4 linked regions of the Mus musculus genome follow. The protein of the gene in region 1 purifies or fractionates together with the protein of each later gene. This does not show direct contact. Links are inferred from orthologs where the notes say so. Each region holds a gene or a part of one and is shown in the gene's direction. Other genes may lie near its edges.

Region 1 (5,786 bases):
GCACAGGTTGAAAGTAAATGACAGCTTTCGAGTCTAGGGCAGGGGGTCTCTGGGGAGGGGAAATCTTAACAGTCCTGACAACTGTTATTTCTGCCGTGTAATAGACGGGTTGGTATTCTCAGAGTGGCCAAGTGGCACTGTGAGCACATGTGCACCCTTTGGAAAGCCCGGAGGCTGTTGGATTTTCACAACAGCTGTCTTGACAAACCCTGCCGGGCTCAACTATCCATTGGCCATGTCCCTTTTTGTCTTCTAAAGCCCTAGCATATGAGAATCTGGCAGCCAGAACGAGGCTGATTGTGGCTGACACAGGAAATGGTGGTGGCTGGACTGATGCCTGCATGCAGCTGAATGGGGGACACACAGCCAGGTCTTAGCAGGGAAGCAGCTGTCACTCCAAACATCAGGCTCCATGTCACCAGCTTGCTCGTTTCCTTTTTCTAACCTGGCTTCTTTGGCTGCCTTGGAAAGGTAACACTAAGGTCGGACACCAAAATCACTCACACTTAATCTTACCCTTAGGAAGGCAGAGGAATAGGAAGAAAACTCTCATTTAATGTTTCCTACATCGTGTGGGGGACACTGTGTGTTTGTGTTTGGGGGGGTGGGTGCATGCTTCAAAGGAGGTCAATCTACAATCACTGCCTGGGTTTGACCCACACACGCTATGGCCACTCAACCTCTTGTGTCATGCTCTTTCCAAAACGATAACATCATGGAATGATTATCTGTCTGAAGCATCTAGGGCAGTTTACACATGAGGTAGGTGCTCTACGATTGTTTGCTTTTATTCGTCAGTGTTAATACAGTCCCAGTTATCCCTTCGAGATGCAGGAAAATGAAGCTCCAGGAGATTAAGTTCCTCACAGGAGATGGCAAAGCATGAAAACAAACAGATTTATCTGCAGTGGGTGGTTTTGTTTTTTTTCCTTCCTTTCTTCAGAACACGACCGGGCATGCTCAGTGCTATCCAGTTCCCTCTCCCGTTTGCCAGCTTAGGGCTGGGTTTATCAGCACTGGAGAGGGGGAAAGCCTGCATGATGGCGACTCGGTCTTTAATCTTCCACTCTACCCATCTCTGGAAAAGAAGCCATTGATCAACATCCTGGTGAGAGGCTGCAGAGGGAGCGGCTTCCTTCTCTTCCCCCTTCCTTCCTCTGACTACTAGGGGGGGTAATCATAACTAATGTTCAGAGCCCTTATCATAGTCTGGGTATTCCAAGACAAAGTCAGGCTTAAAAAGGTGAAATTTACAAACACCACTTAACCCAAATATCTTAACTGGGGATCACTGTGAAAATTATGCAGGAGATATTGTAACCTTTTTTGGTACTAAGTGTTAAATCCGTGATATTTTCTACGCACATTGCCCTAGCACATACACGATGAGGCTGTCAACACCTTGCAGCTACTCAGAACCACACACTGCAGGGGCCTATTTTATTTATGTATTTATTTAGGCCCACTTTATTTATTTAATTCATATGCCTAAAATTGTGTCCCTTGCTTTCATTTTCACATACTTAAGGGGAAAGTTGACTGAAGGAATAATGAAGTCGCCTTTTCTCTTGTTTTCTCATGCAGCTCAGATTTCTTGCTTGGTCAATGATTTGATCTGCCCATCTGTCTGTACTGCCCATGACGCAGTCTGGCATAATAGGAGGCTAGGGCATTATCAGGACTCCGGGCTCCTCTTGGAAGTCTCCCTACATCTGGTGCTTCTGTAGGCACGGTAGGGCCTCCATTGATGACAGCTCACTTGTGGAGACAGTAGTCAGATTAGCCAAGCAGAGGCTTGATAGGGGCTCAGATTTCCTGGACCGGATGACAGGCCCGAGTCCGGAACCCCGGGTATTGCGGGGGTCTACACAGGATGCGCGCTCTGTCCATCAGGAGCATCTCAGCATCCGCTTGCGCTCAGCTGTGGTAGATCCGCTAGGGCCTCCTCCTCTTCCAACAGCAGGGATCTCCTTGTCCGCCCAGCGTCCTGTAACCCCATCCCCCTCCCTGCCGTCCCATAGCACCCAGGGCGGAGTCGCCCACCTGTCACCGAATCGTCCCACGTGGGTCTGCGGTAGGAGGGTCGAAGGGAGGGAGAAAAGACAGAGGCGTGGAGGGAGGCAGACGCAAGAGCCACCGAGGAACCGAGGAGAGGCTGAGATCTCCGAACAGCTAAACAATCTAGAGGACCCCCCACCACACCTGGTAAGGAAGGGACAATAAAGGAGACAGAAACGGGTTAGCAGAAAGAGAAGGAAAAAGATGAGAGCGATGAAGGGGCTACGTATACGCGACAAGATAAAGATGGAGAGGTGCCCTGCAAGAGAACGGTTCTAGCTAGATGACGACGGGCTAAGGGTAGGGGGTGGGAGTAGCCGGTGGTGGGCTTGAGGGGGGTGGGGATGGGGTTGGAGGAGGATCCTAGGCGTCTGCGCCTTTAAGGTTGCCAAGGCAACCGCCCTGGCCAGAGCGAGGCGCATTGACGTCAGCAGCCGAACGCTGATTGGCCGCGGTCGGCTGGTTTCCGGTGGAGCCGTCGCCGAGCCGCTATCGCAGAGTGGTAGTGAGGCTGCGAGCTGAGCCCGCTGGACGCTCGGTCACCCCGGCCGCCTCGCCCTGCGTTAGCCCCTGCTCGTGCCGCCGCCCGCCCTCAGGTGAGTGCGGGCCCGAGGCCTGACCGGGGAGTCGCCGGCCGCGGCGCTCCGCTGCGCGTCCCTGAAGGCGCGGGAGCGAGCCAAGATGGCGCCCCGGGGAGCGCGCTGCGGGGGGACGGCCGCACCCCCTGCGCCTCCGAGGCGGCCTCGGGGCCTGTCGCAGGCCTCGCACTGTCCCCCGGGGTCCGCCCTTGCACCGTTCCCCGCGGGGCCGTAGGCCGCCCCTGCCCCCCGCCGTTCCGCCCCCGTCCTGAGTGTCTCCGGGTCCCCGGTCCTGCGCTGCCCTCGGCTCCCCGGCCGCCTCCGCCCCCGCGCGCCGCGGCCTCGGCGCCCGTCCTCCCTCCCCCACTTCCTGAAGGACAAGAGCTCGGTATTTTTTTTTTTTTTTTAAACCGGAATCCGCCATGGCTTTTCGGTCTTAGCCTCGCCACTCGGCTGTAGTCTTCATCTCTGCCCAGTCGTTTCTTCTGCCCTGGCTTCCCCCCTCCTCTTCGCGGGCTCGTCTCCCTCCACCCCTCCGCTCGGTGATTTCAGCCTAGCTCCATTTCCCTTTGTCCCCCTAACACTTCTCGTCCTTTCCAGCCCCCACCACCGCCCACCCCAGCCTCCCCAGGCCTCCCGCTCCGCTCCACTCCACGTCTGCGGCCTCCTGCCTGGTGGGGGATGAGGGGCCGTCTTGCTGCTCTCAGTGATCATGACCGTGGCCTAAGTGAAGTGAAGGGCACTTTCCTGCCCTCCCTCGTGAAAATACGCGGCGCCCGTTAACCCTTAACTCCAGCCCAGAGCGGGTGTGGGGACAGCCGATGACTTGAGGGAGCCAGGATAGATAGGTTTCTTGAGCAGAGAAATGAAGGCTCGCATTTAGATGATGACCCCCACCCCACCCCCCAGGCTGTGTTAGTGTTACTTGGCATCCTTTAGATGTGGGCCCTGTCAGCAACAGGCTCCCAAAGGCGGTTTAAATATGTCCTCCAGTATAGTCCTTCTGAAAGCAAGAGTGTCATCAGAACCGAATTTCCTCAAGAATCCCCCTTCTTACGAATACTCGATGCAGTGATGATGGTTTTAGTGTTTGTTTTGGAGAGAAGCTAAGTTGTGGGGTTTTTAAAAAGTAAATACAAACGTGGAACCAAGACATACCCGATTAAAAATCCTAAGGCCATAAAATTAGATTATTTGGCGTTTCACATGATGACTGGTGTTTGTATTTTCTTTACCAGTGCCTGCCTTTTGGTCTTTGTAATGCATACACCATTTTTCACTTATCAGCCCTAGTTGCGCCATCCTTCCCAGCCAGAGACAGGATCTAAGAGGGATTTCTCTGATCAGTTAAATATATGTGCTGACATTCTTGAAATATGGCTGGATGCTTCGAAGCATAATAGATTTGTTTTTATCCACGTTCCTGGTGGCCTTCAGTATTTGAAATGGAGAAAGTTCCAATGAAGTGGATTCTTTGTCTCGTTCCGTGCTCTGACCTGGAAGCACAACAAGAACAAACGATATCTGACAGTAGAAACCTTCCCTTCAGTGTTTCTTCTGAACTGACGGTGGTGTGTGTGTGTGTCTGTCTGTCTGTCTGTGGCTTCTAATTTCTTTCTGTGCTTGTCATGGAGCTACAAACTTTGTCCTGGTCTGTTGCGTGCATATTATTGACCTTTATCTTGAAAACTGTCAAAACAAAACATTAGTGCAGCACTTTAAAATGGCTCCTTATCCTTATCTTTTAACTCACAGGTTAACCTTAGAGGGTCTGTGAGCATTATAATTTGAAGAGTGGTTATGTGGAATTGGTATGCAGAGTGGAGAGGGCGTCATCTTCTAATCTCAAGTGCTTAGTAATTAGGAGTTAGGAGGAAAACTGAATAGCTGCATAAAGTACTGAGCTTTTAGTCCTGAGGCAGCTTGGCTGCCCATTATTGTGTTTCTATTTCATATTAATGTTGCTCAAATTCAGTTTTAGCTATTGAGTCATCCTGTAAGCTGTAAACTAGCATGTTTTAATATATTCCTGTCTAGATGAAGAAAATCTTAGTTTGCTTGGTAGAGATTATTTTCCTCTAGTACAGCCTTTTCAACTCTTTCTGCTGGTAATTGTATTTCTAAGTCACGGGCAGAGTTAGTCAAAGAAGGGAATGAAAGATTGCTGAGGAAAGGCACCCGAGGCTGCTTTTGTGTTTCAGAAAATTCGATTCCACTAATATTTGGCTAATCAGCTTCTTTGCCCTTGTGGTTTGCTGTGACATTAGCTGCGCTCATGGGATGGGAGGTGCACTCAGGGGAATGTCAGGTGTTCTTTGTGAGCTGTGCTTTCACTTAGAGCCGACCTGTGTGCCCTTGTAATTCTCTGACCTGCTTCCCACTTACATACTTCCCACGTCATCATCGTCATGTCTTTTGCAAGAGAACTGAATGAAATCTCCAGAGGGCTTGGGGCCTCAGCACTGCCTCAGTTGCTCAGCAGGGCAGGCACGCTGGCTCATACTTCCTCCCAGGAGCTATGGGTCTTCTCTGCGTGACCTGCCCAGCGGAGACAGTAGAAACTTGGGATAGTTTATATCCAACCCCCACCTCCTCTTTAAACACAAATGCTGTTGAGTAAAGAAATGTTTGAATCTGCTGTCTCGTGAATTTAAGTAAGTCCCAGGCCAGATCTGCATCTGTGCTTTCTAGCTTACCCAGCATGTGTGTTCTTTGTCTCCCAGAGAACCATGGCGTCTGGCAGTATGGCAACCAGTGAGGAAGAGCGGAGTCTCCGGGAATGCGAGCTCTATGTGCAGAAGCACAATATCCAGGCCCTGCTGAAGGACTCCATCGTGCAGCTGTGCACTACGCGGCCCGAGAGGCCCATGGCATTCCTTCGGGAATACTTTGAGAGGTTGGAGAAGGTAAAATTCATGAGGGAGCGATTTGATGACCATGACAGTTGCTGTGCTTAGAGCTTCTGAATGTCAACTGATGTGTGACTTCGGGCAAGAGGGGTTCTGGCCAAGTAAGTCAAGCAGAAATTCAGATTATCATGCAGTGAAGGATTTTTTAGTAATTTTAATTAGAAGTTGCCAGAAACCAAATTGATGCTGCTTGTGTGGCTAAAACAGGTTTCCTGATGGTTGTTGTTTTTAGCTATTTGAA
Region 2 (5,173 bases), on another chromosome or scaffold:
TAATGCTGGGATGGTAAAGTAGGGAGACCAAAATGGAAGTCTTTGCCTTTGTCATCAGGCAAGCTCTCAGAGCTTTGCCTTTGTCATCAGGTCAGCTCTCAGAGCTTCCTTGTCAGTGTCCCCCAGCATCCATCCCTTTCCCCATCCCCACATCACTTCAGCCCAGCAGGTCTGCCTTGAGACAAGAAACTCTTGGCCCCAGTGCTGCTGGCATTTTGTGCTGGATTGGGAGCAGCATCCTGTGTACTGTGGAGTGTCAGGCATGAACCAGACCCTGCTCTCTAGACACTAGGGGTAACTCCAGTTTTTTTGTAGACATTGCTGTATGCCCACTGCCCCTTTGAGAGCCCTTCTTTTCCCTTGCTTCCCTGGCTGCCCGCTCTCCCTGTCGTAACTTCATCTGGACCCTCACTGAGGACCAGTGATGGCAGGAGCTGGGAAGAGGAAACGCTCTGCAGTATTTCTTCACATGATCGTAATGAGCACCAAGAATGCTGTTGATTGGGGTCAGAACTGTGTCGTGTTTTCTTCTACTCTGTAATCAGCTACTGGCATCTTAGTTCTTTGAATGGAGAGAGAATAGCATCCTGTTGCAGGAAAGTTAACTTAAAAGCAGGGAGACATGGATCCTGACCCCAGTCCCATGATAAGTGGACTTAGCCTGGGCTCTGCCTTACAGGCCTCTCCCTGCTGTGGGGGACAGGGTGGAGCTAGATGCCTGATTTTCAGATTGCTGCCTAGAACCTCAGGGACCATCCTGAGTGCTTCCTAGCCCTGCTTCCACTGACTAGCTCATCCTCCAAGAGGGTACCCTCGCTCCTTTTATGCAGGGAGTTTGTGACACCCCCAACACACCCCCTGCAGAACCATGCTGACTCCCGGCCTTGTTGCCCTGCCTATAGGTAGCCTTTGTGTAGCACTCTCTGGGCCTTCTATCCCCAGCCCCCACTGCTGGGATGCTCAGCTCTCCTGCAAAGGTAATTTGCAGCTGATAATTCCTGAGCTTGCACAATTGCAGTATGCTAATTTTTGCATGGCAGGAATTTGATAGTGCAATATGCATGGCCCCTTTTCTCCTCCTTGAAGTATTAGCCTCAGCCCAACTTCATTATTTGCCCTTATTCATAATTTCTAGGGGCCGGTAGCTTTAGATTATCAAGATATTAGATAAAGTGATCCATTTAAACAATAAATGTGACATTGTACAGTGTAGATGAAATGCTGCCTTGTGTCTTGTGTGCCGAGGACGACTTTGCATAGAATCCTTTCTGACATAGCTGGTAACACTTGGGCTTTCATTCATGTCTGAACAGCATGATGTAGAAATAAATAAAATCATACCTACGAGTGCATCCAAGACAGAAGCACCGGCAGCCGCAAAGTCCCTGACATCGCCCCTCGATGACACAGAAGTAAAGAAGGTGATGGAAGAGTGCAGGCGGCTGCAGGGGGAGGTGCAGAGGCTTCGGGAGGAGAGCAGGCAGCTCAAGGTAACGCCCACCCTCCAGGGTCCAGCGGTCATAGCTGGGAAGTGGGGGAGGGGAGCCTAGAGGGTTTGTTTTGTTTCTTTGCATCTGCTTGCTTTTTTCTCCTAAGGGGACATATTTGCAGAGCTTTCTTCCAGTTCTCAAAAGCCAAGGCACCTAACTAGGCTGTAGATAAATCAGGCTGACTGGGGAGGCCAGAGGCTCCCTTGCATGTTACTGTCCACACAGTTTGCATGAGCTCTTGGGTCTCAGGCCTCAGGCCTATTTGCTGAGCGTGTCTCTGGCTGACTTGTGGCTGGAGACCTGTGCATCTGACTGTGGATTTAGCTGATGTGGATATACCTGAACAGTTGAGTATAGGAACTTGAGTTGTAGCTTAAATTCTGGGGCCTATTTGTTCTTAATCTTGATGATGCCACCCAAGCATGTAATAGGTTTCACCTCTTTACCTGCTGTGGCAGCAGATGCACACAGCACACTCCTTTAAGCCGACTCCCTGCATTAGCTCTGAAGGAGATGCAGGAAAATGGCAGCTTGGAGCTGCCCTCAGTGTCTTTGCAGACGCTTCTCTTTAAGTTTCTTTCTCCTTAGAAACAGAGTTCTGCACCATTTAAAGTGATCTATAGGTAGGGATAGCTTCCATGTAAACCCAGTAAAGTAAATGCTGCATTTTGCTGTGCCCATTGTTTTAAAGTTAACCGAATGCTGCAGCTCATTCGTCACTGTGCTGTGATGCTGGCCTTGCCCACGAGCAGAACATCTTTAAAGTAATATCAGAGCCATCATGATGTGCATGTGGGTGGGGTGGGGTGTGTGGCGGGTGCTTTACCCTGCCAGACATTGCCTTTTTGTTTAGTGAGATCTGCTGTGTGCCAGGCGTTGTGGGCTCAGCTATGAGCAGGCTGCCCTGGGGAGCTCCCTGAGAGTGGGGCTGAGGGTGAGACAAGACAGTGACGGTTACAACCCATGTCCTTAGTAGGCCTGTGGAGAGCTGCAGATCACCGGGAGACTCCACTTGGCATTTGACAGATAAGAAAGAAGCAGAGGAAAAGGACGGAGAGTGTCAGCAGTGTGGGGGTCCGCCTGGCGCTGGCCCTGTGCAGAACTGGGGCCTGGGAAGGGCCGTTGGAGGAACCTGCAGGGCCCTTAGCCCGGGGTGGGGGGTGCGGTGGGTTGCAGCAGAAGCAAAGGAAGACAGAATTTCGTTTATTTCCCACCTGTCCTGGGGGGATTGTGATGGGTGTGATCTGGTGTCTGCCTGCCTGAAGACCAGAAGTCACGCATTGGTTAGAAGGCAAATGAAGGTTTTCCACTTTCACTTTTGGGACAGTGGGTGTTCATAGTATGTGTTTAAAAATCGAAGGGACACTTGATTTGGCAGTCACCTAGACCTGTTCCAGACCACCAGAGCTTCAGGGGATGCAGGTCCCTACTGGATAGCTCGCCGTGGGTTGCAGCTTAGGAATAACTGAGATTTCGCTCAGAGATGAGCTGACAGAACAAACTTCAGGGTTCAAGACAGGGCAAAGGTCAGACCTGCAGGTAGACAGGTGAGGCTGAGGCATGGCTAAAAAGCCTGGCTGCCTCTCTGAAGACCTTTCCTTGTGGTTCATGGAGAGATGAGGGGTGTTTTTGGTTGGTGTTGGAGAGAGAGAGAGAGAGAGAGAGAGAGAAAGAGAAAGAAAGAAAAAGCCAGGATGTGCTTGACAGTACGGTTTGGCTGGATTGTGTCTGCCCAGCCCTGAGCTGCTTCTGAAACGTGTCCTTGTTCCCCCAGGAAGAAGACGGACTTCGGGTGAGGAAGGCGATGCCGAGCAACAGCCCCGTGGCGGCTCTGGCGGCCACTGGGAAGGAGGAGGGCCTGAGCGCCCGGCTGCTGGCCCTGGTGGTTCTGTTCTTTATCGTTGGTGTCATTATAGGGAAGATTGCCTTGTAGGGGCCGCATGCGAAGGATGGCAGGTTGGATTGATGGATCTACCACACCATGGGATTCAAATTTATCATAACCATGCGTAAAAAGAAATTAATGTATGACGGCATCTCACAGGTCTTGCCTTTAAATACCCCTCCCCATGCACACACAAATGCACACACAAATATAGCATAATATAATGATCTTTTAGAAAGTTAAAAATGTATAGGGAATGGATGGGGAAAGAATGGTCTGTTGCCGTAGGACGGGCCGTGATTAACCACAGTGGCATCTTGTAGCTGTCACGCTCAATTCGGGTAGGCCTGGGCACGTGTTGCTAGATCACTCTCTTAAAGCAAGAAGCTCCTCCTCGCATGTTGGGGCTGGCCCGTGGGAGCGGGAGTCCTGCAAGGTGGGGCGAGCTGTCTTTTTCTTACCCACGTGGCTTCCCCAGGCCTGCTGTTCTGTCCAGGCATCGTCTCCTCAGGCCTACAGAGCTGCAGGTGCCAAAGTGCATTGCACAGAGGCCACATCTCGTGTACCTGTGGGTCGTGTGGGAGAGACATGAGTGGACCAGCGGGTCCAACACAGGGAAATCCAAGTCTGTGCTCTGTTCTCTTGAAGGGACCAAGCTAAATTACCGCTGGTTCAAGTAGTGAACCGAGTTGTTCTCGGAGATGGCTGATGCACATGTAACCTATTTCATCTCGTGTGTTCCTGCTGCCACCAGAGCACAGGCAGTGAGTGCTGCAGACCGCCAGTGAGGAGCTGCTGCTGTGGGCTCTGGAGGTCTGAGGGAAGGGGAGGGTCTGAGTCAGGAAGTGTTTTGTTGTAGGTCAGTAATAGCTGCCCTGAGGAGGAACGCTCTTTTTAATGACAGTCAGCTCTGGATTACCCAGTCTTCTAGATTGCCCTACCATCCATCCTTCTAAAACATAGGCCAGCCTTGACCTGCCCTTCTCAGGATGAGTGAGTCAGGCTGCAGAGGGTGAAGGGCATAGAGGGGGTGGGGTGGGGTGGGGGAGCCCTCAGCAAATCCATCTGCTGGTGATGAAGAGTCCTGACTGTGAATTAATTTCATGCCATAAAAGACCGATCCAGTTCTGCTCAACTATGTAGCATCTTAAAGGAAGAGATTAAAATAAAGCCCCAAATTAAGAGTCCTTTTGTCATTTTGTCACATTTGCTGTGTGGGGTTCTTATTATCAATCATCGTTAGTGTGCTATGGAAGGTTGATTTTAAAATGAGCTCTATCAGTGGGAAACACATGTGTAATGATTTGACTCTGCACACATCTGTGTACACACGCACACACATATATTACTATTACTTTTATTATTATATTTTGGTTGGCTTCAGCTTAACAGCAGGAGCCATCTCAGGCTGGCTGTCCTTCCCCTTCTGTGACCTTGGCCCTTCAGTGACAGGCCTGAGTCTGAGAGGACAAGCCCATCTAAAGGAAGACTGGCCTAGACACCCGAGATCACACTGCTGCTGTGCCTGAGTGGGCGGGTGGGAGCTGGAGACGGGGGGGGGGGGGGGGGGCACTGGGCGGTAAGCAGCCCTGCCCGCTCTAATGCCTCTTACCGAGTTTCCAGACCCTTTCCGTGTGCCTGAAGGAGGGAGGGTACGACTGAGCTGAGGGTGAGGTCTGAGCTGCCACCTGGCTTCCCTTGCTACACTGAGAGGTTCAGCAGTCTCAGGTGCTGCCAGTAATCCTTTTGCAGCTTTTGAGGGCAGAGTAACTCAGTGCCTCTGACAGGACCTGGGGTG
Region 3 (5,173 bases), on another chromosome or scaffold:
CCTCGAACTCAGAAATGCGCCTGCCTTTACCTCCCAAGTGCTGGGATTAAAGGTGTGTGCCACCATGCCTGGCTTTTTTCTTGTTTCTTATCTAGAGTCTCCTCAAGGTTTGTTACATACTGCATTGAATATTTTGGTTACCTCATTCTGGAACCAGTCCAGTGGTCTAGATCCTATTTTCATGACACTATATCTTTGGAAAAATCTGAGCTAGCTCTCCTGTAGAATATGCCACATTGGTTTTTACTGTACAATTTATCAGGAACATCTCAGAGGTTCCCTGGTCTTCATTGCTCCCGTGTCGGGTCAGGAGGTAATATCGTCAGTGCTCTTGAGGAAGTGGTCAAGGTTGTAACCATCTGCTGTCTCCAATATAAATGCAGAATAACTTTGATTAAATGCTTAGTAAGGAAGCTATGTGATGATAGTTTGAGAAATGTGAGTAGCCTGTCTCCCAATAGCTTTTAACTTCATAGATTTAGGATATACTAATAATTCTTTCCAAATCAGTATGTTTAGCCTTACAAAGAGGATTTTCTAATGGAATCAGTTTGCCCCTATTTGTCATCCAGCAATCATAGGCAAAGAACACTATGACTGAACTCAGAAGTTAGGATGCATTACCATTTCTGTTCTTTTTGGTGCCCTGCTTGTTCCAGATGTAGCCAGTGGGGATTCCTGAGTAATACAGTGACTTCTGTGTTCTTTTGAAATTGCCCAATTTAGCCTTTGAGCGCTTCTCTGTATTCTGGCACAGTTAGATGGTATAGTTTCTTTTGTATGTTCTCTCTGTCCAGGATCTGGAACCAGACATTTTTCTGAGGAGCTCTGGTTCTTTTAATTGCTGGTTTGTGTTTAGAAACCACAATCTGGGTATGCGATCTGCTTATTGCTACTTGAGGGTTATTGATTCTAAGACCCTGCATTAGAAAAGGTAGTATTTTAAAAATAATAGACACATCTTGATAGGTGAGATTGAAATTTAACGTTACATAGCTTTTTCTTGAATTCCTTAATATTATCTCTTAGATTACAGATTTAAGTTAGATGAACTTTTTATGGTTAGCAGCTGTTTGTTGACTTGATGTAAAGTGTGAGGAGATGAAGTGAATGGAATATTACAGTTTTTATGATACAGTTCAGTGGGCAGAGAAGATATACACATGAATATTGTAATTAAAATATGTTATAATACAGATCAAGTAACCTTAATCTGCAAACAGTAAAGGAGAAATTTAGACTGACGGGTGAGGACATCGTCTTCAGCCTTGGTGTGATAGGGTTCTATAGGGCAGGATTGTGGTGTAAGGCAGTCCCACAGGTGAGGAGAGCAGGCCACATATGAGAAGAGGAATACTGGAGTTAGTGGGAAGTTAGTGTTATCTTTCTGTCCGACTGTAATATTCATTGTCTCCTGCATGCACTTGGCATTTTTGACAATTTTCTTTCCCAGACACGGAGTCTCTTATTTTTCTTATTTTTGTTATATAGTTGCTTTAAGACCACTAGGAAGTCTTATTTTTAGTTAATTTTTTCTCTGTCTTTTAAGGGAAGAATAGTTGATGCTAATGTACCCTTTTCTAGCTACATCATTTCACTCAGTATACGAATTGTTTCTATTCTGTTAGGGACTTGGAAATAATATATGCAGTTTGCTAATTTTAGTGTAAGGCAGTGATTTTTTAACCTGTTCTCTCTTGACCCCCTTTGGGGGGTGTCACATCTGTATTATCCTACATACCAGATATTTGTATTATGATTCATAATAGTAGCAAAATTACAGTTATGAAGTAGCAATGAAATAATCTTATGGTTGAGGGTCACTACAGCACGAGGAGCTGTATTAAAGGGTCACAGCATTAGGAGGGTTGAGAAGCACTGGTGTAAGAGGTAAGTATAAGTGAATCTGGAGTATAGGTCTGTATTGTTTTCCAGGAACTTGAATTTTTTTCTCAGCAGAATTGAGCTTAACAGATAATTTAAAAAATATTAATTGGTGAATGAGTAACTGTAAAACTCAAATATCTGCAAGTTTTCTTACTTGTCTTAGAGTTAAATTGTTTTGCTTATTTATTCCACAGAGCTTCAGTGAAGATGTGTTCCGGTCTGTAAAGTCTTTATTACAGAGCGAGAAGGAGCTATGCAGTGTATCAGGAGGAGAGTGTTTAAACCAGGATGAGCACCCCCAGTTAACTGAGGTTTGCCATATGACTTTCTGAACCCTTTTGCAATTGTGCACAATATGTTTTCATGGTCTTCTTATAACTTCAGGCTCTGTTTTTAAAAGCTGTACATAATACTAGTGATTGGGAAGCAGTTGGGTTATTTTGAGGGTATGACTTGTAGGTTGACCGTGCTCCAAGACAGGCCTCATAATGGAGAGTATTTGGGCAACACAAATTGAACCTGAATTTTTTTTTTTTTTTAATGGTAACACCATGTTAGGTGGGTATGGGGTTGGAGTGAATCTGGGATTAATTGGGGCAGGCTGAAGGCATCTATTAACAACCATGGCAAACGGACAAGTGGCATGGCAGTGGACAGTCCAGTGATGGCGGAAGTAAGAGTGCATGGCAGTGACGATGGGGATGAGGAGGGCACGGGAAAGGTGGATGGTGAGGTTCAAGAGCTACAGTGTGGTGGAAACCTTGGTCATTAGGAACACTGCCTGCCCTGCCCAGTGTTTAGTGCCTTGTCCACGTTCTGACCCAGGACTTAAACACAGTAAACTAATGGAGATTTTTTTTTTAAATTCAGGTCACGTTTCTGGGCTTTAATGAAGAAACAGATGCTGCTCATATACAGGTGGGGCCAGTTTACTGAATGGCAGATTGTGGGGGGCTACTTAAATTTTGAAGACTGAAAACTTTAGTGCTCAAATTTTACACTGATTATAAGGTATCTTTTAAAGCTAAAAGATGCTATTTGAAGCCAGGCATAATGGTGCATTCCTTTAATTCCAGCAGTCAGGAAGCAAAGGCAGGCTGAACTTTAGTTCAGGACCAGTGGCTGGTCTGTACAGTGTGTTCCAGGCCAGCCAGGGCTACGTAGTGAGTCTCTGTCCCTACCCCAATCCCCTCAAAACAAAGATAACATTTGAGTGTGGCCTGTACATCTTTAATTTCAGTATTTTTATTAAGAATTCCTTTGTTGTTATTTGTGAGACAAGGTCTTGTCAGATATCCTTGCTGTGGCCTTAAACTTGTCGAAAGCTTCTGCCTCCATCTCCCAACTGCTGGGATAACAACTGTGTGCTACCATCACTAGCTTTTGTTGATATAAATCTTGCTAAGGAAAGCAGATTTAGATTTCACAATTAAAATCATTTATCTGAAATCTTTAAACCACAGGCTGTTTATTTCATTCTGTTCATTATATTGCATGTAACATTTGTATATTTTAATGGCTTTCACAATTTGATTTCAGAAGTAAGGTTCTTATATTTTTAGTGAAGTAGAATTAAATATAAAAGATCAGATTTGTAAAAGCTCTCAATTTTTGCATATTTATAGATTTGTGTACAAGTTTATAGCCCATTTCATTTAGACATTTATAGGGGGACTGATATTTGAGGTTAGGATCAATGAAAGGTTGCCTGAAAGTTGCACAAATCACTGCAGATAGGTTTTCCTTGTGCTGCTGCTAGAAAACTAGCAATTCTGTATTAGTTCTCTCTGGTGAGTATACCTGCAAACTCTGTAGTCTGTCTTGATTTTCATGGCCAGAAGGAAATAGCCTGGACAGCAAAACCAGAGAGGGCATACTCTCCAGAACAACATGCAAATATAGAACTGGACTTGCAAGGCTGATGCAGGAGTGTCACTGTGAGTTAGAGTCTAGCGTGGGCTGCATAGTTCCAGGCCAGCTTCACCTACAGAGTGACATTCTTTCAAAAACAAAACAAACAGCACACCTTCTCTGGCCCTCAGGAGCTTAGACAGGACCACCTGTACGAAGCCTCTATTCTTCGGGGGCAAAGACTGGAGGGAACCTTGTGCTGGAAAAAATGCTTTTAAAGAAAAGGCAAAAGAAAAGGTAACAGAAAAGAAAGCTAGCTTTCCTTAAACCTGCATAAACTCTTTGAAAGCTTACTACAATATCTTTGGAAAAAGTAAACTTATATTTTAAAGAGATAAAACTCAGTCTCTGAAGAAGGGTGTTCAGTAGCTAAGAATTCTATATGAAAAACTCCAGCATCAACCCAGAAGACCTGAGGGTGACAACTACTAAAAGCATTTAAATGCTGATCATTATGGGTGTGTGAGGTGTCCTGTTTTAAGATTGATGAGGTAGCAAAATGCTCGAAAGGCTACAATACAAAGCATTACTAAGTAACCTGTGCTTTATTTGTGAGTTAAAAAATGACTCTGTAGATAAACTGTGTATGTATGTGAGCTGTTACAAAGCAGACAATTTATTGACCAGTACATTTCATGAGTTTTGAGTGGACAACATTGTGGAAACCTTGACATTGCTATTCTGTAATATTGTTCATTACTGTCACTGTTATTTAAAATTAGGATCTAGCTGCAGTTTCATTGGAACTTCCAGATCTTCTGAATTCGCTCCATTTTTGCAGTCTAAGTGAAAATGAAATCATTTGTATGAAGGATACCAGTAAATCGTCCAATGTAAGCAGTAGTCCTCTAAATCAGGTAACTGGTGGATCATTTCTCATCTGCTTTTTCAGGGCAGGTTTTTAGTATATTTGCTCAGTAATAGTGATCGAAGCTTTTCTTGATTTAATTTAGTCTCCAGGAAGTGGTATTGATGAAAAGTCTAACTCACAAAGCATTGCCAGCCTTGAAGTATAAAATAATTTTGATCATGGCTTATAAACTAAATTCTTGCCAGTGAAGTACTGTCAGTGGTGTGCAAACTTTTAGTGAACTATTTCTGCTCAGATGTCTTTGTATGACTGGAGCTCCTGCTTTATGGCCGTCCCACATTTGTATGTGTTGCAAGCTGAATGTTATAGAATATGGACTTCAGTTAACTTTCTGATTAAAGAGCTTCCATGTAAAATGTTGTTTTCATAAAACAGTCTTTAGTTCATCACTAATTATTTTTGATAATGTATCAAAGAAAAAGGCTTTAGGGAGTAAGACATTTACAGTTGTATGAGTATGTTTACAATTTGGAGAACTTATTCCAGCTATGAAATACTGCTTTG
Region 4 (5,935 bases), on another chromosome or scaffold:
TTACCCAGGTTTCCCCTTTACCAGCTTTCAAACATTTGATGGGGATTTTAGTTTTTAGCGTTGTGCTGGAAAAGAATATCTGGTCAATGGGGTGAGAAGCCTGGAGGTGAGGCAGGAGGAGGAACTGGAGAAAGCTTGTGTTTGGGAAGGACCTGGTACTAACTTCTGTGTAAGGGACACTCTTGGACACTTCAGTTTCTTCAGATTAATTACATTGTTTGTGGACTTTAATTAAATTATATCAACAGGGCAGCCAAACGTATGTTTGTCAGACGCTGGAAATGTTTTATATCCGAGGCAGTCTAAAGCAACTTACTTTCCTTCCTGTGCCCTAATTTACTTTAGTTTTTGCCCCCCCCCCCTTTTTTGTAAGTTGAATAGGTGCTTTAGTATATCAGTGGTGTGCTAACTATAGGAGGTTTGTTGGAAATCACCGAAGCCAAGTGTTTCCTAGGATCATACTGCACAGAGACCAGTATTGACTGGTGTTTTTACATTTGTTTATAAGACTGCATCTGTTGCAAAGAGCTTAAGCAAAACGTCAACACCACTATGGTAAAAACCATGTGTAGAAATAAATCCAGTTACTTTTGGTGTGCAACAGTGTATATACTTACACACGAAAATATCTTTATGTATATCCTTTTAAGCTACTAGCTAACGCCATTATTTTAGAATAGGTACAAAATACAATTTTAGCCAGTAGCTGTCTCCTAATTACAAAGTAGCCAGCACAGGGGACTTCAGTGTCAATGGCCCGAGAGGACACCCAGCAGTATTTAGCCAGGCGGAAGACAGTAGAATAAAAAACAAAACAAAAAAACCGAAAGGCAGAATTCCGGTGAAGATTCGACGGTTAAGGCCAAGTGGGCAAATTTAAGAATCGGGAAACCGAGGTGACTTAGGACAGGTAACAATAAAAAAAAAAACAAAAAACAACCCCCCCCCCCAACCCCCTCCGAAAGCCCTGGGGTTGGCGCTGGCTGGGCATTCCGATGGAGAAGCCGGGGAACCGGCGCCCGGGAGCGTGCCCAGCCTGGAAAGTTTCTGCGCGGCCCGCGCGCGGGCACGGTCCGAGTAAGGTGGCGGCCGCGCGCCTGCAGCCGCGGGCGTAATTCCGGAGGTGAGCCGGACGCCAGCGATCGTCCAGGCCTGCGCGGGCCCGGTCGGGATAGGGGCTCGCGACGGCGGCCTCCCAGGGCCGCGAGGTGGGCGGCTTGCCCTCCGCTTCCCTTCCTTCCCGGGCCGCGCGGGCGGGGCTGCGGGCTCGCGGCGCGGGAGCGCGCTGCGCCACGGGGGCGCGCGCTGGCCCGGCCGCAGTCGGCGTGGGAGCGAGCGCGGGGGCGGGGCGAGGCGGCCGCGAGGCGGCAGGCGCTCGCTCGCTCGCTCGCGCACCGGCAGGCCACCGCCTCGCCCCCGTCCCTTCCCTTCCCTTCCCTCCACTCCCCTCCCCCGAGCGAATCACGCGCCCTCCTCTGACACTCATAGCGGGCCCGAGCTCCGAATTTATCCTTCACGTGACCTGAGGGGGGTTGGGTGGTTGGCTGGGGGACGGAGGAGAGAGGGGAAGGAGGGAACGGAATCTGCCGTTACCCGAGCAACAGGCCCCGCCCGCCGGCTTGGGGCCGGGAGGGGCGGGCGGAGGACGTCAGCACGTCAGCCGGGGTTTTGCGTTTTGATTGACAGTTGCTATAGCGACCGGGTCGGTCCGTCGCCATTTTGTTGGTTGGTTTTTTTTTAAACCCTTTCGCTTCCCGCCCGAATAATAATAAAAAGCCCCATTGGAGTGAGGCGGGGGTGGCGGCGGCAACCGCGGCGGGGGGATCCGGGGAGACTGCTGCCGTCGCTGCTGCCGATCGCGGCCCAGGTCGGGCTGAGAAAGCGGACTCCCCGAGCGGGGGTGCGGGCGCCACCGCCGCCGCCGCTTGTGCTGCTGTTCCTGCTGCTGCTGTTGGTGCCGCTGCCGCTGCCGCCGCCGCCGCCGCCGGCGAGCGGGCGGGACCGGTGTGAGTGTGAGGGAGCGTGTGCGAGGGCGAGTGTGCGCGCGGTGAGTGTGCGCGAGTGTCTGTGCGGGATCGGGGGCGGGCGGTCCGGGCTCTCCTGGCGGAGCCGCCGCCGCCGCCGCCGCCGCTCGGGCCCCGGCGCTGCTCGCTGCGCAGCTTCGGAGCGCGCGCCATTTTGTGAGATTTACAAAAATCCTCGTCGGGAAGAAGCGGCCGGCAGCGGCCGCCACTCGGCGCCCGGCCTCGCCGCCGCCGCCGCCCTCCGCACCGGGCCGGGCCGGGCCCCGCCGCCGACACTCGGGGGCCCGGGGACTGCGGTATTTGCCGGGGAGGGGCTGTCGCCTGCCTCCCCGGCCGCGGGCGCCGCCGGCCCCGCCAGCCCGACGGACCCTGAGCCAGCGCGGCTGCGGCGCGGAGCCGGGACGCCGGGGGCGGAGAGAGGCGGCCGGGGCGGCGCTGGCTGCGGAGGCCGCGGCGGGAGCGCGGCGCGGGAGCTCGAGGCTGAGACTCACCGGAGGGAGCGGCGCGAGCGCCCCGCCATCGTCCCGGTGAGTGTCCGCCCCGCCCGGCGCGGCGCGGCCCAGCGCGCGGCTTCTCGGGGCCTGCGAGCCGGGCTCGCCAGGCCTCAAGCGGAGGGAGGGAGGGACCTGCCATCTTAGGAGCGAGCGGGCGGGCGGGCGGGCGGCCCGGGGCCCGGGGAAGAAGGCCTCGTCCCCGAGGAAAGTTGCGGCGGGTGGGACCCGCTGCCTCGGGCCGGGCCGGCGCCAGACCTCCACTGGCTGCCCGGGCGCAGGGGAGGAGGCTGTTCTCCTCCTCCTCCTCCTCTTCCTCCTCATCCTCTGCCCCCAGCTCCTCCCTCGTCCCTCCTCTCGGTCCCCACCGGCGTGCGGAGCGCCGGGGTTCTGGGCAAGGACAATGCACGGGATCAGAAAATGGGGCTGGCGGCCGGGAGGCGAGGACGCAAGGCCCGGCCGGGCCGGGCCGGCGAAGGTCGGCAGCCTGCTGCCTGCGAGGCCCAGTGGGCCCGCGCTCGGGCCTGGGGACCTGGTGTGCTCGGAAGTCGGGCCGCGAGCGCGGGCCACCCAGGGCACCGGAGGGGCCGGGGTGACCTGCATAGCAGCGGGAGGAGACTGGAATTAGAATGGAGACCTGTGTATCGCCTCAAAACTTCAACATCTATTTATAGGCTCAGACCCACTCAGGCTCCAGAGGCCCCAGAGCTGCTGAATATCAGCACTAAGCTAGAGGCCCCTCCCTACCCCGAAATAGTTAAAAATGGCAAAATTCGTGAGTCAGTGACTCCAATGACTTGTCTTGTCTTTGCCCAGCCCTAGATTATGTGACTCCTGTCGTCGAGGTGCAGCATCGTTTGCTTCTTGAGTTCTGCCAAATCCCAAGAAAATATTCCTTGTAACTGTTTGCACACTCATAGATTAGTGCAAGGCCTTTTATATATTACCTCGAATAACCTCCCAGTTGGAAATGCTGCCCATTTTACAGATGAGCAGACTGAGCCTAGAGGTGGGCAGTGACTAGTCCAAGGTCATACAGCCAGTACTCCAGGAGGCCTATGTCAGTTGTTAGCCTGGCTTTCTGTTCATTGGCTCCTAACTTATTATTAAGTACTGTATGATGACTCAGGGCTGTAACCTAGACTGTTTGGGTACAGGTTTTGGTAGAGTTAATTTAGGGTTTGCAGAAGTACAGTTTAGATGAGCCCCTGTAATGAAACTTGTCATGCCCCCCCCCCCCCAGGTAAACTAGTCTGTTTTTCAGTGGAAGAATTGAAACCACTGGTGCATTTTGTTCTTTGCGTTTAACTGTTACAGTGTAGAGTTCTTTTTGCGTATTGATAAGTCATAAAGTTTGGTGTGAAGTTATTTTTTATTTAAATACTTACATTTCTCTTTTGACACTGTACTTTGCACGTTAAGAATAACTATTAGGTATTTTGATTTGAGATGTTAATGTAGTGGAATTATCTTACTTTTTGTTTGTTAAATTTTTTTTAATTGTCTTAAAGAATTACATTTTTAAATAGACTGTAAGTGGGAGACAGGAGCTCAAATTTCACTTGTCAAGGTTTCAGAGGAATAGTGGTTAAGAAGATTTATTTGCATATGTGGATTTTCAGGGTGCTTGTCTTACAGCACCCTGCCCTTCGGAGCTTCTGCCCTAGCACGGCGGTGGTGTCTGTGGTACTGTCCAAAAAGTTAAAACTCTTGTCAGCGTCTATACCAGGTACTCTGTAAAAATGGCAACAGAAAGTTTGTATTTACCTCAGAGAGGCATAAGCTCAGAAATTGTTCTAGAAGGGCTGCTCCTGTGTCTGTAAGGCAAGGACACACATTTTGTATTCCTGGTGGATGATGAAGATTTTGTTGTCTTTTGAAGGAGCAGAGTTGAAGGGATGGTTGTTATCTGTAAGGATAGGAAACTGACTGACTGAGCCAGTGGAGCTTCTTGAAGACACTTTGGTGTGTGACCTGTTAAAATTGTAACCTCTATGCTCTGTGCTATGCCACTGCTATGTGCTAGGAGTTGAAAAATAAAATACCATTCACGAGAACATGGATAGTCAAAAAGACCCTTGGCTAGAGAAGTCTCACTTGAGAGTTCTACTCTGTCACTGAGTTTTCTTCGTGGCTGGACTCCTGTGCTTGTGACTCACAGATGGGAGTGACTGACAGTGTGACAAGTCTGTGCTGTGCAGTGCAGTGACTGAGGGTAAAGCTAAGATGGCTTGTTTCAGACATGGCATGAATTCTGTCATGGGTGTTATTATGTAACTGTCAAGGAAAGAAATACTGTATGTGTTTACTTTGGGTATTACTTTAAACCATTTTTAATAGAAATTTAAATAGCACAGAGATGTTACAGAGTTTATGGTTGGCAAATGTCTGTTCCAGAAAGAAATTTTGTATAGAATCTTGGATGACCAAGAATCATTTTGTACTGCAGGACATAGCTACATAGTATACATAGTTGGACTCCTAGAGGGAGGGCGGGAGGGAGGGAGGGCTTCATTTCTGAATCTCTTGCTACTTGGGGATGCTCTTGTTCGCACCTGCCAGCCAGTGTCCCTCTTCCCAGTAACTTCTCTTCTACCTCTCAAGAAGGAGCTTAGCCCTCAGACCCAGCAAACACCACAAGTTTCCAGAAAGTCTGTCAAGAACATGGCTCAGCACTTGCAGCTGTTAGTTTTAAGAATTCTGTGGTATTTCTAGACAGTAACTTGGCCCTAACACTCTATTTTGTGTTGAGTGTTTTGGTGGGTTTCCTCCATTTGTACTTGTCTACTTTCGACTTGGGAACAGATCTCTTGCTTGGACATAACAGACAGGGTCACCTGTAACTTCACAGTTTGCCTGTCACAGCTGTAGGACCAGAGTAGTAGTGTATGGAGTGGTATGTCTTCTGAAGGCAGGGACCCTGTGCTGTCCTACCCATTGTCATGTTTGATGGCAAGACAGTCTGTGGGAACTCATAACCCAGTGCTCGCATAGGGTGGGATTACAAAATATGGGGATTAAAAATTGGTGTTTAATTACTTGGAAAAACTTATTAAATTATTTTAAGTTACCTAAAGTTGTCCCTAAATGAAGGAATCTTTTGAAATTATGCTTCACCTCAACTTCATAATGTTAAGCTGTTGAGTGTAAAGTCTTCTGTTGGGTACGTGAGAGTTGAATGCAGGTTTCATGTAACTAAAATAAAGGTTCACATTAGCTAGTGCAGGCAAGTGTTATTTTTAAAATTTTAGTTCATATTGACATATAAAAACAAAATTTGACTTGGAAGTACATTGTATTAAACAGCTATGCTTTTTAAAGTTATATTTTGGCTTTGAAATTCTCATTTGAGCATTCTGTAGTGAGTTACAGTTCTTGGTTGAGAGACAAACCTAACGTTGGACATCTAACCTGCTGTGG

Evidence for each region.
Region 2: the proteins of Prkar1a (region 1) and Vapb purify together in Homo sapiens (affinity purification with mass spectrometry; 3 studies listed by BioGRID and IntAct, counting the BioPlex papers as one, with this or other methods). This does not show direct contact. The link is inferred for Mus musculus from reciprocal best matches to the Homo sapiens genes PRKAR1A and VAPB.
Region 3: the proteins of Prkar1a (region 1) and Akap11 purify together in Homo sapiens (affinity purification with mass spectrometry; 3 studies listed by BioGRID and IntAct, counting the BioPlex papers as one, with this or other methods). This does not show direct contact. The link is inferred for Mus musculus from reciprocal best matches to the Homo sapiens genes PRKAR1A and AKAP11.
Region 4: the proteins of Prkar1a (region 1) and Dyrk1a purify together in Homo sapiens (affinity purification with mass spectrometry; 6 studies listed by BioGRID and IntAct, with this or other methods). This does not show direct contact. The link is inferred for Mus musculus from reciprocal best matches to the Homo sapiens genes PRKAR1A and DYRK1A.

The regions. Positions count from the first base shown.
Region 1 is NC_000077.6:109,648,420-109,654,205, forward strand, and holds the start of Prkar1a (cAMP-dependent protein kinase type I-alpha regulatory subunit), read left to right. Parts: upstream 1-2,529; 5' UTR 2,530-2,654; intron 2,655-2,922; exon of another isoform or gene 2,923-3,024; intron 3,025-5,336; exon of another isoform or gene 5,337-5,359; 5' UTR 5,360-5,365; coding exon 5,366-5,542; intron 5,543-5,548; exon of another isoform or gene 5,549-5,786. UniProt on the Homo sapiens protein: Regulatory subunit of the cAMP-dependent protein kinases involved in cAMP signaling in cells.
Region 2 is NC_000068.7:173,774,799-173,779,971, forward strand, and holds part of Vapb (vesicle-associated membrane protein-associated protein B), read left to right. Parts: intron 1-1,313; coding exon 1,314-1,490; intron 1,491-3,264; coding exon 3,265-3,423; 3' UTR 3,424-5,173. UniProt on the Homo sapiens protein: Endoplasmic reticulum (ER)-anchored protein that mediates the formation of contact sites between the ER and endosomes via interaction with FFAT motif-containing proteins such as STARD3 or WDR44.
Region 3 is NC_000080.6:78,515,805-78,520,977, reverse strand, and holds part of Akap11 (A-kinase anchor protein 11), read left to right. Parts: intron 1-2,081; coding exon 2,082-2,198; intron 2,199-2,757; coding exon 2,758-2,805; intron 2,806-4,520; coding exon 4,521-4,655; intron 4,656-5,173. UniProt on the Homo sapiens protein: Binds to type II regulatory subunits of protein kinase A and anchors/targets them.
Region 4 is NC_000082.6:94,567,984-94,573,918, forward strand, and holds the start of Dyrk1a (dual specificity tyrosine-phosphorylation-regulated kinase 1A), read left to right. Parts: upstream 1-2,222; 5' UTR 2,223-2,551; intron 2,552-2,923; exon of another isoform or gene 2,924-2,993; intron 2,994-5,935. UniProt on the Homo sapiens protein: Dual-specificity kinase which possesses both serine/threonine and tyrosine kinase activities. Exhibits a substrate preference for proline at position P+1 and arginine at position P-3.